Tribolium castaneum: one gene and its partners. The protein of the gene in region 5 binds, or shares a complex with, the protein of the main gene of each other region. Links are inferred from orthologs where the notes say so. Each region holds a gene or a part of one and is shown on either strand. Other genes may lie near its edges. The genes, in order: Tif-IA, Polr1F, Polr2K, Polr1B and Polr1H.

The links.
Region 1: Polr1H (region 5) and Tif-IA share a complex: the UniProt entries of both Homo sapiens proteins name them as parts of the pol I pre-initiation complex. The link is inferred for Tribolium castaneum from reciprocal best matches to the Homo sapiens genes POLR1H and RRN3.
Region 2: Polr1H (region 5) and Polr1F share a complex: the UniProt entries of both Homo sapiens proteins name them as parts of the RNA polymerase I (Pol I) complex. The link is inferred for Tribolium castaneum from reciprocal best matches to the Homo sapiens genes POLR1H and POLR1F.
Region 3: Polr1H (region 5) and Polr2K share a complex: the UniProt entries of both Homo sapiens proteins name them as parts of the pol I pre-initiation complex. The link is inferred for Tribolium castaneum from reciprocal best matches to the Homo sapiens genes POLR1H and POLR2K.
Region 4: Polr1H (region 5) and Polr1B share a complex: the UniProt entries of both Homo sapiens proteins name them as parts of the pol I pre-initiation complex. The link is inferred for Tribolium castaneum from reciprocal best matches to the Homo sapiens genes POLR1H and POLR1B.

What each region holds. Positions count from the first base shown.
Region 1 is NC_087395.1:22,076,490-22,080,509, forward strand, and holds Tif-IA (RNA polymerase I-specific transcription initiation factor RRN3), read left to right. Parts: upstream 1-1,201; 5' UTR 1,202-1,360; intron 1,361-1,408; 5' UTR 1,409-1,414; coding exon 1,415-1,868; intron 1,869-1,920; coding exon 1,921-2,026; intron 2,027-2,138; coding exon 2,139-2,750; intron 2,751-2,798; coding exon 2,799-2,977; intron 2,978-3,021; coding exon 3,022-3,280; intron 3,281-3,329; coding exon 3,330-3,504; 3' UTR 3,505-3,572; downstream 3,573-4,020. Other genes in the region: ATP-binding cassette sub-family F member 3, read right to left, coding at 3,691-3,843, 3,935-4,020. UniProt on the Homo sapiens protein: Required for efficient transcription initiation by RNA polymerase I (Pol I). Required for the formation of the competent pre-initiation complex (PIC).
Region 2 is NC_087394.1:6,583,602-6,587,155, forward strand, and holds Polr1F (DNA-directed RNA polymerase I subunit RPA43), read left to right. Parts: upstream 1-1,231; 5' UTR 1,232-1,480; intron 1,481-1,531; 5' UTR 1,532-1,584; coding exon 1,585-1,772; intron 1,773-1,824; coding exon 1,825-2,154; intron 2,155-2,657; coding exon 2,658-2,830; intron 2,831-2,882; coding exon 2,883-3,004; 3' UTR 3,005-3,044; downstream 3,045-3,554. Other genes in the region: nitric oxide synthase-interacting protein homolog, read right to left, coding at 3,084-3,155, 3,209-3,317, 3,371-3,554. UniProt on the Homo sapiens protein: Component of RNA polymerase I (Pol I), a DNA-dependent RNA polymerase which synthesizes ribosomal RNA precursors using the four ribonucleoside triphosphates as substrates.
Region 3 is NC_087394.1:4,871,054-4,873,399, reverse strand, and holds Polr2K (DNA-directed RNA polymerases I, II, and III subunit RPABC4), read left to right. Parts: upstream 1-1,354; 5' UTR 1,355-1,482; coding exon 1,483-1,546; intron 1,547-1,599; coding exon 1,600-1,692; intron 1,693-1,760; coding exon 1,761-1,783; 3' UTR 1,784-1,826; downstream 1,827-2,346. Other genes in the region: Pfk (ATP-dependent 6-phosphofructokinase), read left to right, coding at 1-49, 381-605, 669-891, 945-1,074. UniProt on the Homo sapiens protein: DNA-dependent RNA polymerase catalyzes the transcription of DNA into RNA using the four ribonucleoside triphosphates as substrates.
Region 4 is NC_087399.1:7,572,242-7,576,266, forward strand, and holds the start of Polr1B (DNA-directed RNA polymerase I subunit RPA2), read right to left. Parts: upstream 2,816-4,025; 5' UTR 2,698-2,815; coding exon 2,626-2,697; intron 2,550-2,625; coding exon 2,220-2,549; intron 2,168-2,219; coding exon 1,928-2,167; intron 1,877-1,927; coding exon 1,704-1,876; intron 1-1,703. UniProt on the Homo sapiens protein: Catalytic core component of RNA polymerase I (Pol I), a DNA-dependent RNA polymerase which synthesizes ribosomal RNA precursors using the four ribonucleoside triphosphates as substrates.
Region 5 is NC_087397.1:21,420,256-21,422,809, forward strand, and holds Polr1H (DNA-directed RNA polymerase I subunit RPA12), read left to right. Parts: upstream 1-1,488; 5' UTR 1,489-1,577; coding exon 1,578-1,704; intron 1,705-1,761; coding exon 1,762-2,012; 3' UTR 2,013-2,043; downstream 2,044-2,554. Other genes in the region: PolD1 (DNA polymerase delta catalytic subunit), read right to left, coding at 1,028-1,292, 1,342-1,394. UniProt on the Homo sapiens protein: Core component of RNA polymerase I (Pol I), a DNA-dependent RNA polymerase which synthesizes ribosomal RNA precursors using the four ribonucleoside triphosphates as substrates. Can mediate Pol I proofreading of the nascent RNA transcript.

The DNA of each region.
Region 1 (4,020 bases), on a different chromosome or scaffold from region 5:
TCATTTGAATTCATTACAATTAGAGTACCTACTGAAACTGATATTGAAAGAATGGTTAAGACTTGAGTCTACCAACTATTCGGAGGAAACTCTCCTACTCTAATTACAAATGACGACATATAATACTCGCTCATTAGTATTAAGTAGCGTCCTTGTTGTTGTTAAAGAGTTTTTTTACTCATTTATAAAATGTAGACGTAATAAATTATGATATTAATTTGAAACTACCATTCAATTATTTTTCCTTTATAAATTCGTTCTTCAGAGTCTTTTTGACAATATTGGTTACACACAGCGCGTGCTGTTAACATTTAAACAGCACTTTTTTAAACAGGAAAGTACTAACCATCAAGGTTTTTTACATTGTTCCATAACTGCTGGAAAAGAGAAATCAGAGGTGATTATTTCTGTTGTTTTTTTCCCTTTCCCAAAGATCATCTGAGGCAAGTGCCCTCGATCCGGCTCTGCCCCTATATCATGTAAAGAATCTTATTCAAAAAAAAATTAATACCTGCTTAAGTATGCTGAGTTAAAAATAATCGAATTCTTTTAGTTTTCGAGAGTAAGTTTGTTCTTACAAAGTGGATTTGTTTTAATTGTGAATCCTGTGAAGATTTCACTAAAATGTTTGGCTGAAATTATTTGCTTAAGAGATGAACTTCTGTGGTTGTCGGGTTGGACCTTAAAAATGTGCCTCCTTGTGTTTTTCAGATCAAAAAAAACGTTAAATGACAAAAATCAATACATTAGACAAACCTCCTTGTTCCCATCTTGTAACAATAAGTTACCTCACAGATTATATTTTTTGTTGGTGTCGTACTTGTTGCCGTGTCGTTTAATTTTACTCACTTTATGACTTACTGTTTTGTGAAAGAATTTTTGCGGATTAAAAGTTCCAAATTCGTTGACTAGTGCGTGCTGATCGCGGTTAGTGTGTGCTATTGAAAGGGATTTTTAAGGGGAAAAGAGAAAACAACCCGGATTAAAGGGTTAGTTTTCAATAATTTATTTTTAGAAAAGTTTCTACATTAAAATCTATAATATTTTCAACGAATTTACTGGTACAATGTTCCAATTTCACTGTTTTTTATTTCAGTAGGTTCGTGAAATGCTTTTGAATAGGTGATATTAACATCTTGTACTGATTTTACTTTTAATTTATTTTAATAAATTAGCCCGGCTCAAAATTTAAATAGTAGCCTTGCCAACCAAGCAACTTCGAAAAGCCACAACAAATAACCCTAGACGCAGACGTCAAACCACACGTTTTTCTCCTAACCTGTAAAAGATGTGATTTAAATAACATTGTGAAATACTGTTTTTATTGATTGACTGTGACTGAACCGTTGCTTTAATTTATGTAAGTGCCATATTTATCATTTTTTCAGAAAAAACAAACAAATTTCAGATCATTATGTCTTTATTCTCGGCCCCCACGAAGTCAACGACCCCTTCCTCGATCCTGAAGAAAACCCCAAGTCTCAAATCGACATTAAACCGCTCCTTGAAAGTGAACACACCCACTAAAGTCCGATTTATTTTACCACACTCTAAAAAAGTGCGCCACATATTGAAGGACTACATCAAACACGGAAATGCAAAGGATTATGAAAATTTAGTGTGCCTAATTCGCGATGCCGAACTGTTTGATGACGATATTTCCTCACTGTTGAAGGAAGCGACTGAGTGTATTTCAATAATGAAGCAGGAGTTACGTCTTTTTGTAGAAGCACTCCTTTCAGTTGACTGGATCGAAAGAAACGAAAATGTAGTTAAGGAGTATCAGTCATTTATTGCGAACTTAGTCGCTGCACATAACTATCACGCAGATTTTGTGATAAATAAATTAGTCACATTGTTTTTTCCCCGTAAGTTTGGTAAAGTAACTAATCACCAGTTAATTACCAGTGAATTATTTAGCTCTAACAGACCCTGAATGGGAAAATGGAACCCCCAGTAAAACGGATATTCTGAAGTGCCAACACGTCCACTCCCTCCTCTGTGAACTTCTAAGAACAGTCCCTTTGTAAGTAATTTTTCAAGTCTCAGGTACTTTCCGGATGTAATTATCTAGAGTAATAAGCAATTTTCTCTATAAAATAGTTTATAAATTAAATCTGTGCTAATGGGCATTTCAGGTGCAACGAATTGCTAATCCACGCCCTGATCGACCACTTCCCTTACATGAACAAATCGACCCACATCCACGAATACTACATCCAGAACCTCCTCTGGGTCATCTGCTACCAGCCCACTCTCAGACCCAACATCCTCCACTTAATTTTCTCAAAACTGATCATCATGGACGTGAGTGCGCCCCGCGAGGAAATCGCGAAACTTGAAGAGGAGGAAATTTTCATGATGGACGAGAGCAAAACAAACACTACGATAAATCTGGACTGCGTCCATTCAATGGCACACACTTTGGACGTTTGCCTGGATAAAGTGTTCAATTACATTTACTCCGAGTGCCATGAGCCGGGCACTAATGACTTGAATTGGGGCAAAACCAAGTCTTTATACCAGGATATTTTGACGGTCTTTGATCAGTCGATCCTGCCAACTTACAATACTCATCACGTCCAGTTTGTTATGTTTGTGCTGTGTTCCTTTAAAACGACGTTAACGGAGGCGTTTTTTAATTACTTGTGGAAGAAGGTGTGCAATCCGAACGTCGCGTCGGTGATTAGACAAGCGGCGGTTAATTATATTGTCAGTTTTATAGCGAGAGCCACTTTCGTCCCCCTTACGTAAGATTTTTTCAATTTTTTATGCCCCAGTTTAATGGAAAATTGCAGCATGTTGAAGGGGACTTTGCAACAAATGGCCGAATGGATCCACTCGTATATCGCCACTCAGGACGGCCTAGAGTGCGTCAATTCGGACCTAAGGCTCCACTCTGTCTTCTACACAGTGTGTCAAGCCCTCTTTTATGTGATTTCGTTCCGGCACAAGGATTTAGTCAACACAAAAAAAAGTAATGATTTTTTTACTCGAACATTGTCACAACTTTGATTACAGATGTCGTATTTTTGGAGAGTCTGAACTTGGCGAAAATCGTAACCAGTCGGTTAAACCCGTTGCGGGTTTGCCAACCTGCAGTCGTGCAAAATTTCGCTGCTATTACCCGAAAGTACCAACTAGCCTATTGTTACTCAATCATTGAACACAATTCGAGGAACACTTTACCGACTGTTTATAGAGACGAGAAAGGTTTTGTGACAGTTTCAAGTAACGTCCTAGAGGCGTGTTACCCGTTTGATCCTTTTGTTTTATCAAGGTTCGTTGCACCGTTTTTTGGGGGATTCCCCTGACTGTTTTAATTGCAGGTCGAGTGCGAAAGTGCACCCGTTTTATCGGGACTACAAGGAGGTGAGTTTTGAGGTAAACGATTCAGAAATGAGGGAAATTGGGGACGTTGACGATTTCCTCGAGAATGACTTTAACTCAAAAACGCAGAAATTCTCATACGGGACTTCGCCAGGGTTTAAATTTAAGGGCTAATGTGATACTGATTTATGCAAGATGTTATTTATTAATTTGATAGGAAAATAAAGTTTCTCAAAATATGACCTATATTTTAATACCGTTATAAACATGAATATATTATAAATATAACAAAAAATCATAAATAGTTTTTCCACAAAGGAGGCACATTTATACAAATTTCTCTATTAAAAAGTAAACTCGTTATTTAGACTGACTTTCGAGTTCCTGTTCGACAAGTCGTCTGTACTCATCAAAACCTTCTATACTTCGCACAGAGCCATTACCACAAACCCACAACTCCTTGCACACTTTGCGAATAAGCCGCTCGTCGTGCGACACAAGTATCACACCGCCCTAGAAAAAATTAAGCACAAGGGAGGTAAAAAAATAAAAAAGTGTATGGTGGTAATGTGATCACCCAAAAGTGGTAAAAGCGTTAACTTACGGTGAATTTGACTATCGCATTCCCTAAAGCTTCAATTGTTTCGATATCTAAATGATTGGTGGGTTCGTCAAGTACGAGGAAATTTG
Region 2 (3,554 bases), on a different chromosome or scaffold from region 5:
CACGTACGTCTTAAATAAGGCCTAACAGGCTTATTAACTGAGTTTGATTGATCTGAATTACTACAGAGTGTTTACAATTTTTTTTCAAACTTCTTAAAATTTAAAGTCTGTAGCACCCTGTACAGGTGGTCCAGCCCAGCTTCCATCTTCGGTGGCTCAGTTATTATTTAACAATTTATACTCTAGGATTTCAAAAAAATATTTTTGTTTATACATAGTGTCACAAAAAAGTATGACATCATAATAATAATTTTTATGGCATACTACTATTACTACATTAAGATGCCTTTCTAGCTTCTTACATGTCCCTAAAGTTTTTTAATCGGTTTTATTACTACTTTACCAGAAACATGAAATATGATCAAAAAAACTCATTTTTCTCACGAGTTCTTTTATCTGTAAGATGATGCAATAAAAGCTGTATATTTTTGAAAAACACAAAAATAAATAAGGAAAACTTGAAATAATTAGCAATCACTAGCACAAACACTAGAAATAACAGATAAGTACTTGTGTGATATCAACTTATCTAGTCATTATTATTATCTATTCCGGAGTCTGGGTGGTTCTAATCCATACAAAAATAACACAACAGATGTAGTAAGATAAAAAGTAATATGAAATCAACTAAATCTATCAACATGCAGTAAACAATAACACTAACACTGAATCCAGTTCCACAAATTTATGTTTTTGTCTCTAGAACAAAAACTTTAAAATTAATCCCTCACTAATCTGGCATCATTTCTTGCAATAATTTTGTTAATCTCTGTTAAAAAACAAAAAATAAGCAACATATCCCACTTGAACCACCAACTTATTAACGAGTTGATATCACAGTATAATATCTACAACTCACCGGTTTAGAGGTTTCCTTGTAATAATTACGTTTATTAATCCATTTCACACAGTTTTAAAACATTTATCAACTGTATTTAACTTTGTACAAGCCCTTTACCACTTTTGAAACGAGACAACACGTAAAATGTCAACACCTGAAATAATTGGTACGACTGACACAGAGTTGGAAAAATTGAAAGTCACTAAACTGTGCGCTTAGAATCCTATGGTTTTTGAGTCTTTTTTTTTGAGTTTTTGAAAAATATAAAAACACACCAAATTCCTACAAGTTTTCTTTTAATTGAACGTAAGGACTAACACTAGGACACAAAAAAGTGTCTGGGTTCCAAATACACGAAACAAGAAGAGAGTATCAAATGCACATTGGGTCGAAAGCGCGCACCAGAATCAAAAATCAAAAAAAGAATTTTTTAACACATTCAAAAAAAGGTCATGGAGTAAATACAATTGCCATGTATAATTACATAAGTGTACTATAGTAGATAAGAACCATTAATAAAAGTGTAAAAAACCGGTTAATTATTTTACGTAACCTCACATTTTTTGTGACTTGAGGTGATATATTATCGTGGATTTGTGGCCTAATTAATATTAATAAATGGTGGGTTTGTGATTTCACGTAAGTCATTTAATATTTTTGTCATTTTTTGCACTATAACACATTTGTTAGGTTTCCAAAAAAATTAAGTGAGGTTATCATACCCACACGTGGGCCCCCCGAAAATGAAAAAACAAAAATTATTAAAAACTTTTAATTTAAACGAATTAAACTCGTTAGTTGAGGATAAGAATTCGTGTGTGGAATTACTTACCCTCCAGGAACACATAGCCCTCCACCCTTACCACTTGAACGATTTAAATAATTCAGTTAAGGAGATCCTCAATTCAAGGATAGGGAAGTTTAGTGCCAGGTTTTGGGTAAAAATGAAAGTTTTGCCAATAGTTTTAATAATTTATTTGTAGATTAGATGGGATTCTGTGTGGTTACAAAAATACAAAATTGTTGTCAAAAGCAGGAAAAATCTGTGATGATTCTTGCTACATTCACGCCGATATTGAGGCCGAATTCTTCATTTTTAAGCCTGTGGAAGGTAAAATACTGGAAGGTGTCGTACACAAAAAGACTAAAGATCATGTTGGTTGTCTGGTACATAAAATTTTTAATGTGTCTTTGCCAAAGCCCAAGAAACATGAGTGGTTGGGCGAAAATTTGAACCCTGGCAGTAGAATACAACTAGAAATCACGTCAACAAATTTCGAGGGAAAATTGCCTTACATTAAAGGTAGAATTATGTAAGTTTATTTTTCATCATACAACTACATAGTGAGTCTGCTAAAAGTATTTCTCACCATATTTTAAAAAGTAATAGTCGCCCAAAAGTCAGCGTTATTAAATTATTAAATACTTTATATTTTTTTCTATACATGTGTTTCTTTTTCAGAATTTGTTTACCCTTTCTTATACGAATAATTGAATTTTTTATTTTTACTTAATTATTTTTTTTGGGGGTTAGTTACAGTTTTTTCAGCAACATTTAATTAACCATCGCTTGTTTTCAGGTGACACAGGAAATAAAAAAAATGTAGATAATTAGTAGTGCTTAGTTAATTTATTTATTGATTTTAATTGTACGGAATTGTAGAAAAATTCTGAAAAAAATCACAAGCACAGAAAAAAATATAAAGTATTTACTAGCAAACGCTGAATTCTGTGGGACTAGTTTTTGAGATGTAGTAACAAATATACTTTATAACAGACTCACCCTGTAGACAAAACTTAATTCAATTAATTGTAGCAATGTTTTGGACGCGACTCCAAACGTATTAAACGAGTCGAACAATAAAATAGTTTTTGAAGAAAACCTTGATGAGACAGTGACAAAAAGTAGTAAGAAGAAAGCGAAAAAAATTATTTTTGATGAGTCGTTCAATGACGAGAGTCTTAATTTTGACACATTAATAAAAGAAGGTAAATTTTTTATTAAAAAAAATTCTTACAACTTCTTGACAACTAATTTCAGAACCTGAGATAAGTTTAAAGAAGAGTAAGAAAAAAACTAAACGTAAGGCGGAAGTTGACGAAGATATTGAACCACCAATCAAAAAGAAAAAGAAAAAACATGTACAAGAGGATTCTTCATAAAATTGTTCCACAAATACATGAAATAAAATATAAAACACAATTCTTTTCTTTGTAAATGCCTCAATTTTTTTTAAATAATTCAGGCTTGAAGAGCTGGGCGTTCTTGCTTGGCTTCCAGTTCCACATTAGTTTGGGCATAGCCTGTACCCCCCTATAATAAAAACCGCATTACTTTTGTTACAAATTGAAGTGTTACTGTTTTACCCTCTGCATTACAATGATGTCTTTTTCTGTCAATTTTTTGCTAGTGAGCGGATGTATCCAATCTTTTTTTATAATTTTCTCCACACATTCTAGCGTAACAACGTCACCCCTAAAAGTACGGTCATTTTTTTATTTAGTGTTGTTAATAAGTTATTAACTTACGTTGGTTTGAGAACAGCACAGGGAACTGAGTTACTTAAAACATCGTGTGTTACAGCACACATGTAACGACATTCTTTCGCAATTAAGGATTTTTTGTCGCCTGAATCCTTGATTGGAGTGAATTTGACGTCAATTAAGTCTTTTACTTTGAGGGGTTTCCCCGAAATGGGGCACAATACCACAT
Region 3 (2,346 bases), on a different chromosome or scaffold from region 5:
ATTATTGAAACCATGGGCGGGTATTGCGGATATTTGGCCACACTTGCAGGTAATATCGATATTAAGTTGGCAACATTGTATGAAATGAAGACAGTTTGTGTCTCAAAACGTAAAATATTCGACCCTATACAGGTTGTTTCAGAACTACTTAGTTTTTGACGTAATTTATTTCTTCCAAAATCCTCCATTTTAGAAATAAAATATAGGAGTTCGTATTACTTGTATTATCTTATTTCTGATACACCTTGTATATTTGATGCATGGGGTAATTAAATATCTATTAATGATATAAAAAAGGTAAATATTAATGTTTAAGTTTGACAGTCAATGTTGCCAACACATTCATTATTCAGCATCGCCAACTTATTTTCACATGTTAGGTCTCGCTGGGGGTGCGGATGCTGCGTACATTTACGAGGAAAAATTCACAATTAAAGACTTGCAACAAGATGTCTACCACATGGCTACGAAAATGTCCGAAGGTGTACAACGTGGTTTAATTTTACGTAACGAAAAAGCGTCAGATAACTACAATACCGACTTTATCTACAGATTGTATTGTGAGGAAGGAAAAGGCTTGTTTAGTGCCAGGATGAACGTTTTAGGTATTTATATAGACGTTTGTTTGTTTAAAAATTTAATACTTTTTTTGTGTGTGTATTGTTAAGGTCATATGCAACAAGGGGGTTCCCCCACACCTTTTGACCGCAATGTTGGTACCAAAATGGCGTCCAAAGCGGTCGAATGGATGATCAACCAATTAAAAAGCAATATGAGTTCAGACGGCTCAGTCAGTTGTTCTAGTCAAGACAGCGTCGTTCTGTTAGGAATCGTTAAAAGACAATACAAGTTTACACCAGTCGCTGAGTTGAAAGAACAAACCAACTTTGAGTACGTTTATAAATTATTAAACTGTTTTTTATAATTACTTTAAATTGTTTTAGCTTGCGTATGCCTAAAGAGCAATGGTGGTTGAAACTGCGCCCTCTATTGCGTATTTTGGCAAAACATGATTCGACATATGAGGAAGAAGGGATGTATATGACGATTGAGGATCGCAGTTTTATTAATTAAAGGCAACCGTAGCCATTTATAGTGAATTTGTATTTTTTAGCTTGTTTTATTTATTTTATTGTGTAGTTTATTTTATTAAATGAGATATTGTAAACAAATTTTGGCCATATTGTGATGACAATATCGATATTTGAAGACGGGTCAAGTGTTACAAAGTACGATTCGAGCTGGGTATGTGGAATGGACGTATTATATTTCAATAAAATTTTAATAAACTATCAAAAATTCCTGCACCTTTTTGAATTTCGCGCTTGTATACGTTGGCGTTGCCAACCGTTGGAATAACAAAAAAAAGATGAAATTCCCTAAGTCGGCATGGTGGCGTTGTTTTTATACAAAATTTATTAGAGGAGAAAACTACGTTCCCGCTCGTTTGTATTAAAAATTGTGCTAATTTAAGTGATTAGGATGTCGGAACCTTCGACCAAAGACTCAGGGGCCACGAAAACTCCCATGGTTTACATTTGCGGAGGTACGTGAAAGTGAGGTTATGTTTTGATTTGAAAATTTTCGAAAATTATTTAGAATGCCACAATGAGAACGAAATAAGGCCGCGGGATCCAATCAGGTGCCGGGAATGTGGGTACCGTATTATGTACAAGAAGAGAACCAAACGATGTATCCTTTTATTATCAATTACTAACACTTGCAAATTTTCAGTTAATTTTTCCTTAACTTTGATCCAGTGGCCGTGTTTGACGCCCGGTGAAAAAATTGTAATTAATTAAGGTTGGAATAGAGTGTTTTTTACATTGGGGTTATTATTTGCAAACCTGTCTTTCCCCTTTCCTACGTCCGACAATTCAAGCACCTTGGGCACCACCTGGGGCAATGCATCGATTTCCCAGGGCCCAGTTGTAGCGAAAATTTCAAGGTCTCGCGCAAGGGCAGTGCAGGACCACTTTCTGCAACGCAACCTCCTCTTTAACCAAATTCAAGGTCGTCCATGTGCGATCAATAAAACTAAATACACGCAGGTTCTACGCCGGTGTCTGAGCGCGCCGGTCGCGACGTGTGGCTTCGCCGTTGAAAACGCCGAGAGTAAAAAATTCGCCGATTTTTGGACTGACAATTGTCGGAGGAGTGAAGGTGGTGCAGGACGTGGGGGCCAATGATGGCCGTCTAGGGCTGCGATAACTGCGTTGTGTTATTGCACCACGTGCTGAAAGGGCGCCGGCGAGGTTTACCGTTGCGTGCCGGTTTCCCGCCAGCGCACTGAGGTAATTTTGATTTTTGAAGTGTTTTTTTGATTTTCCCCAAAATGTTTTTTTG
Region 4 (4,025 bases), on a different chromosome or scaffold from region 5:
AGGCTTGAAAGATTTTTCATTTCATCCGTTTCTGAAATGAAGGCGTTAATAGATAAAAATCTAACAGGTGACAGTGGCAATTTTTTAAGAGTATTCCGTATTACAGGAATCTCTTCTTGTTTTCCTTCTATTGAATTAGAAACTACTCCAATCTCTATTCCAATAGAAATTTTTGATAATGTAGAAATATTTTCCTGTTCATCTAGCATAAAATCCAAAAATATTTTTTCGGAGGTGCTCAGTATAATTTTTTTATTACCAGTTACATTTTTGCGTTTTGTTTTTTATTGTGATGTTTAAATTATTGTTAATTGTTTTAATCAGTATATGTTTATCAATTAATTTTACCAATCTAGCGGGTTGTTAATTATGCATATTCACAATTACTTTCAGATTTTTTTTTATTTATGAAGTCCATTAGGGGGCACTTGCCTTTTATTTAAATAATAGGATATTTTAATAATTTTTTTTCTCAGGCAAAGATTCACCTTTACATGAAAAATCATCAGACGTTCTACAATAGCATAATAGTGAATAAACTGCAGAATATTTTAGTATGTATCTTATGAAATATGCTTGAAGAAAACAATTTTTCAAATTTTTTAAGTGACACACAACCACACACAAATGATAAATAATTCCTTATTACAGACAGAAACAAGTAAAAGAAATAAGTAAAAGCATTTCGTTATTAACATAAATTTAAGGATTTGCTATTTCTATTAATACCACCCACAGTTTTTTGTTTTAGTTCTTTTTTGTATTTCAGCTTTTCAGTCTCTTAGGACCGGTTTATAGAAGCGTCATTAATTTAATTCGCACTTAATGCGTGATTAACTGATCACGTGACCAAACGGAGACAATTTGATTGATCTAATCGCGTTGTTAACTTTTAACAACGAATTAAAATTTGATGCAACTTTCTATAAACCGGCCCTTAGTGAATTGTTTTTTTTTACAATGTAATGTTTTAATTAATTAGTGCTTCCAGTTCTGCAGTCTATTTTTCAGTTTTCAGAATTTCAATCTCCCCATTTTTTATTTTTTTTGTGTTTTAGCCTTTTAGTTTGGTGTTTTAGTTTTCTGGTGGAAATACTGTAGTTGTATATTAAATTATTTTTTGAAGATTTATGCGCACTAGCAAATGCACAACATTATTTTATTCAAGACGCTTTGAAAAATAACTAACTTTATTCTCATTCTGAAATTTTAGTAAATAACAGAAAAAAAATAGAAGCAGTAGTCTCGTCCTTTGCTGAAGCTATTGAACGCGTGAATAAAGTGTTCTTTTTTTTTAAACTACCTACTCCAAAAGTTGTGGAAAAAAAGTTAGTGACAAACTAAGACAAACTGAATACAAAATTCTAGATATAAAAATTTACTAAAAATAAAAATGTTAATTGAATGAAAAAATATTATCAATTTAGTACCAGTATCCATTTCCATACAATAAGTTTATTTGTTAGGTTGAATTTTTACAGAAAAACAAAAGCAAATGGTGCAACAGAGAACTTCAAGTTTTCGTTTTGTTTGTTTTTGTAATGGACCTTATTGCAATATTGCATAAAAATTACGTTTAATTTTTCCTGCTGTACGAATTAATAAAGAATATGTTCTAATTAGCAAATTTCAATACCAATTTTCTAAATTAAGTTTTTTTGTAACTCCTAAAAATCCAGTCTCTAGTAACAATTTATGCTTACTCCAAGTAGTAGGAATCGTGCTGGTACCCTTGTATCAACTTCTGGTAAATAAACTGGTCGCAATAATCGCACAAACATTTCAAAATCAGGACTAACGGCGTGTAGTACAAAACTTTCTTGTAACTGAACATTAATTTGGCGGTTCCATCCGTAACAAAATGTAAAACATTCGTCTAAAAATGTAAAATTATACCAAGTTTTTGGTAATTTTTTTAAAAAATTACAGTGGCCGTTTGGTCCTCCCTGACACACCTCATGGAAATACCACAGTCTGAAAAAATCGAGCCCCGCGCTTTCCAGCCCGAGCGTTTTATAGCAATTGGATAGTTCCGACGTGTCATTAGCAACATCCTTACTAGTCTCTCGTGGCCTTTGACCACAAAATAGCCCCCCCATTCCTGCTCATGCTCCCCGTGTTTGACCAACTCTGCGGGGGACATGGCGCTCAAGTGGCACTTATTCGACTACAATTAACCTCGCCAATTAAAAAAACACACACAAAAAAACAAAAAATACTTTAATCATGATGGGCAACTGGCCCATATCCTTATCAAACGCCGTCTGTCTCTCCCCATTAATCGCCCAATTAACCCTGGCAATAAACCGCCCTTTGTAGGTCGCGGCCCTTTGCCTACACTCCGATGGAAATACTTTAGGGCTTTTGACCCCAACTGTGCCCATCGGCACCAAGGGGCAACTGAGACTAGCATCGGTTATTTCAAGTGTGATTTTATCCCCATTTACCATAAACTCAACCGGATTCAAATCAGAAATCGCCTGGTCTAGCCCCTGATTTATCATGTAATTGAAGCTAGACACGTGTGGGTGCCCCAATTGTTGCAAAAGCTACAAATTTGAATTTTTTCATTTGAAAAAAAAAACATAACCTCAAAAAAACACGTGTTAGTTTTAAGACACTTACCACGTTCTGTGACTCGGGGGGGCGCCCGAAATTGGGATCCGTGATATTGGAAAGGCTCGGCTCGTCCAACATTATTAAAACACTCACTTAAACTTAAAAATAAATAATAAAACGTGAAAATTGAACCCGACAATTGTCACTTCCCGGTGGCGTATGCAACCAGCAATACAACCCACCACGATTATTGCATATGGACAACCACCAATTTTAATAATTTCATTATTAAAAAAACATAATTGCCTTGTTGCCTTTAATAGGTAAAGGGGATAAAATGGTTAATTGAAATCGTATTGTCACGATTGACAATTTTATTGTCAGTCATAGAATAAGAGAGAGGAAGAAGCGAATCTCTCTGTCTACCCCTCGTTTTTTCGCGAAAGCGCCACCTAACCCTGAGAGAACGAACTAATTCGATAATAGCGGGAAATTCAAACAGGACATTTTATTTATTTTCCAAATTAAAAGAATAATAAATGTTAAATGTTTCTGTACTCATGCACTGTTACGAGACATTTTAATAAAAAAGCATCTGTAACAGTTGCAATAGCACAAAAACATTTAACATCGCTTAATAAAATGAAACAGTCTTTCCAATAAAAATTTATTAAAAAAATAATAACGTGCTGGAATGTATAGGCATACTCAGATGTAATAATATATGTAAATACAGTGTCTAAATATACACAATGATCCAGAGAAACTGAGTATGTTGGCATCAGATTAAATTATTGAATTAATACCTGAAAGTATACACTATTGGTATCCTTTAAAATTTAAATTCAGATTGCTAACAGACACAGTATTTCGGGATCAGTCTGTATACATACATCAGTTTTGTTGGTTTGATTACTTGTCTGCAGACTGTTCAGAAAAGCAAAAAAATATCAAAATTTTGCTTGTAACCTTTGACAATAGTCCAATTTTTAAGTCCCTTAAGGCTAAATTTAAACAACTATTTTTCGAAATTTATTCGCGGTTATAAGGTTTACGGACGTTTGTAAAAGCGGCCCTAACACGTACTTTAACAGTTTGATGTCAAAGTTCTTGATAAATTTTGAAATTTTTTAAAAGTAATCTCGACTGCATCATAGTTATTAGTAAATTACTCAAACACAAGGGAATTACAAGTGTGCTAAAATTATTTTAAATAAAAAGCCACATATCTGATATACATAACTATAACTGGAAGTTAACTGATTAAAACTACCATGTAATCATTTAAATTTATAATAATAGTAGGCTTTAATATTGATTAACTTGTATGATACTTGTAGAATACGTTTTTTCGCTTAGTTTCTAAATTAAGCAATCACAAAAAGGACAAACCTTGTTTTTTTAACAGGCATAGGCGTTATAACATTGTGTAAAACAACATAAAAGATTAAGACATAGAGGGACAT
Region 5 (2,554 bases):
TTTTACAAATTAGACCCCACAAACTTTATATCGACAAAAAGCTCTTAAAAATACCATGCAATGGTGCAATAATAAACAGGGTGTTGCATTTGAAAAAATCGAGTTATTGCAATATGTAGTTTGTCATATTCAGAAAATCGTAGTAGGCGCTAAAATATCGACATCGAGTTTGCTTTTATTGCAAAAGATGCGCTAAAGCTTAAGAAGTTGGCTAAGAAAAAAAATTGTTACATTATCTTAAATGGTTCTGAAGTTATACATTTTTTGAGGGTCTTTGCACGACACACTTTTCACACATAAATTGACATAAGTCAAAAACTATGACAGATAAGTCTATAAAACCCGGGTGCATTATATCGACAATTTAGTCACGTTTTCAAAAATATAATAAAAATTGGGGTTTCCAATTAAAAAAACAAAACCTAGTGGAGTATTTTATTACAACATTACAACATAAAAATATTGTAAGACCTATCGTTTAAAAAAACTTTAAATTGATAGTTTGCATAGAAAAAAAGTTATGGAGCATGCACGAACTCTTGGGTCACTCTGTATATGCACTACCTCGTGAGACACCCTGTATATTTTAGGTGCAAAATGCTTGGTTCAATACTTTAAATTGAAATTAGCTGTTATAAATTATTCACGCACTTCAAAAAAATAATAGCTAATCTAATTTATACTTTCAATGATAGTTCCAATCATAAATAACAATTTTACAATTTTATCAATACTATTTAAAAACAATATTCGGCAAAATGCGGCGTTGGTGTTTTTTAAGTTTTGAATGGTAAAAGCTCAGATCAAAGTAGTTAGCGTTGTTATGTTTACGCAATTGTTTATTCATTGTTTATTTGACAATTTATTACCAAACAATTACCACTTGTTACCAAACGTATATAGTTATTTTTTTTATATAAACAACTGTCAGTGTCAAAATTCTGATAAGGACAAGACTGTATCAGTACTTAATCTTAGAACATTTTATCGCGTTTTATATTGGGTTTAAATATTAAACAATTCCTACCTTGAAACGGGACAAATCCGCTTGTGTAAAATCATTCGGCAGATTAATGTAAAAGTATGGAGAAAAACCATGAATATGACAACACACACTATTGCCCACTTTTGTAATACCAAACATTCGAATCACAGGAACAGTACCAGTTTGAGCCCCTGGCATTCCAGGATAAGGGGCTGAAATGTAATGATCCAACTCTAATTCTTGAAAAATTAGTGCATCATCAGTGGGGTTTAAATCGCCAACTGGGGGGCGAAAAATTTTGTCGTTCCTTCAATTAACCAAATAGAAAACAATCATTTTTTGTCAAGAAATCTTACTTGAACCTCTTCCCTGATGAATTCGGAGGCGGAAGATTGCGTTTTGTTGCCATTTTGCTGTAAACAAACGGACTCCAAACAAGATATTTCAGTTTCTTCCCGCTTAAAATAATTATAGGTTATGTTGTCTTGAAATGCGTGAAGTGTGACCAATATGTAAATTGGAAAATTCCCAACAGTTGACACATGTGTTTTTTAGGTTAATTTTTCGAATTAAATCACTCAAAAAATTAAAAATGAGTACTGGCCCTAATTTTGAAAGTATCGAAGGGTTTTGTCCCGACTGTGGTTCCATTTTGCCACCTTTAAAACAAACAGGAGGTGTGAAATGTTATGCCTGTGAACGCAATTTTCCATCAGATGGTAAGTTAAATTTGTCTCAATGATAATTCTAAAGAATTGATAATACTTTTTTTGTAGTTTTTCGAGGAACTAAAGCTTCATATGTGATACACTTCAATTCGCGAGACTACAAAACTCATTCAATGAACAAGCAGAACAATAAAAAGGATGAAGAAGAAGATGATGGTCCTGTTGTTGATAGAAAATGTGCCAAATGTGGTCATGATAAAATGACTTATGCGACAGTTCAATTGAGATCAGCAGATGAGGGCCAAACTGTGTTTTATACTTGCACAAAATGTAAATTCAAAGAGAGTGAAAATTCGTAATTGGTCAATAAATACGCATTTTTGTTAATAACTAATTTATTCAATTTAAAAGCATTAATAATTAAAAAAAATGAACAAATAATCTATAGTCCTATGGAGGACTATAGATTAGGAAGCGAGACGGGGTGTAAAATAGTACGGTAGAATTAAAATTGGGCGCTTCGAGTGTTATTTGGCGCCTAATAATCGTTTTACATTAATTTTATTTCAACCAATTAATGGAAAAAATACATCCGTACCGTAATAGGTTGAAAAAAAGTGACGCCCAAAATTTTTACGAGAAACGTGAAAAACAATATTTGAAATCTGCCGCATTGTCTCATATTTTTCAAAACGCTGCAAATACAGTTGAAGATACAAAAAAATGACTAGTGACTGTTTTAGGCTCTACACCAACTTACAACATGAGTGAAAGTGAGACTTAATTGTTTGTGTTATGTTTTTACTTAATAAAAAAAGTCTACCTTTTATATTATTGCTTTGGATGTTACAAAGTTCTGTTTACTTGAATCACCCTGTATTTTTACGTTAAAGTTCGCTGC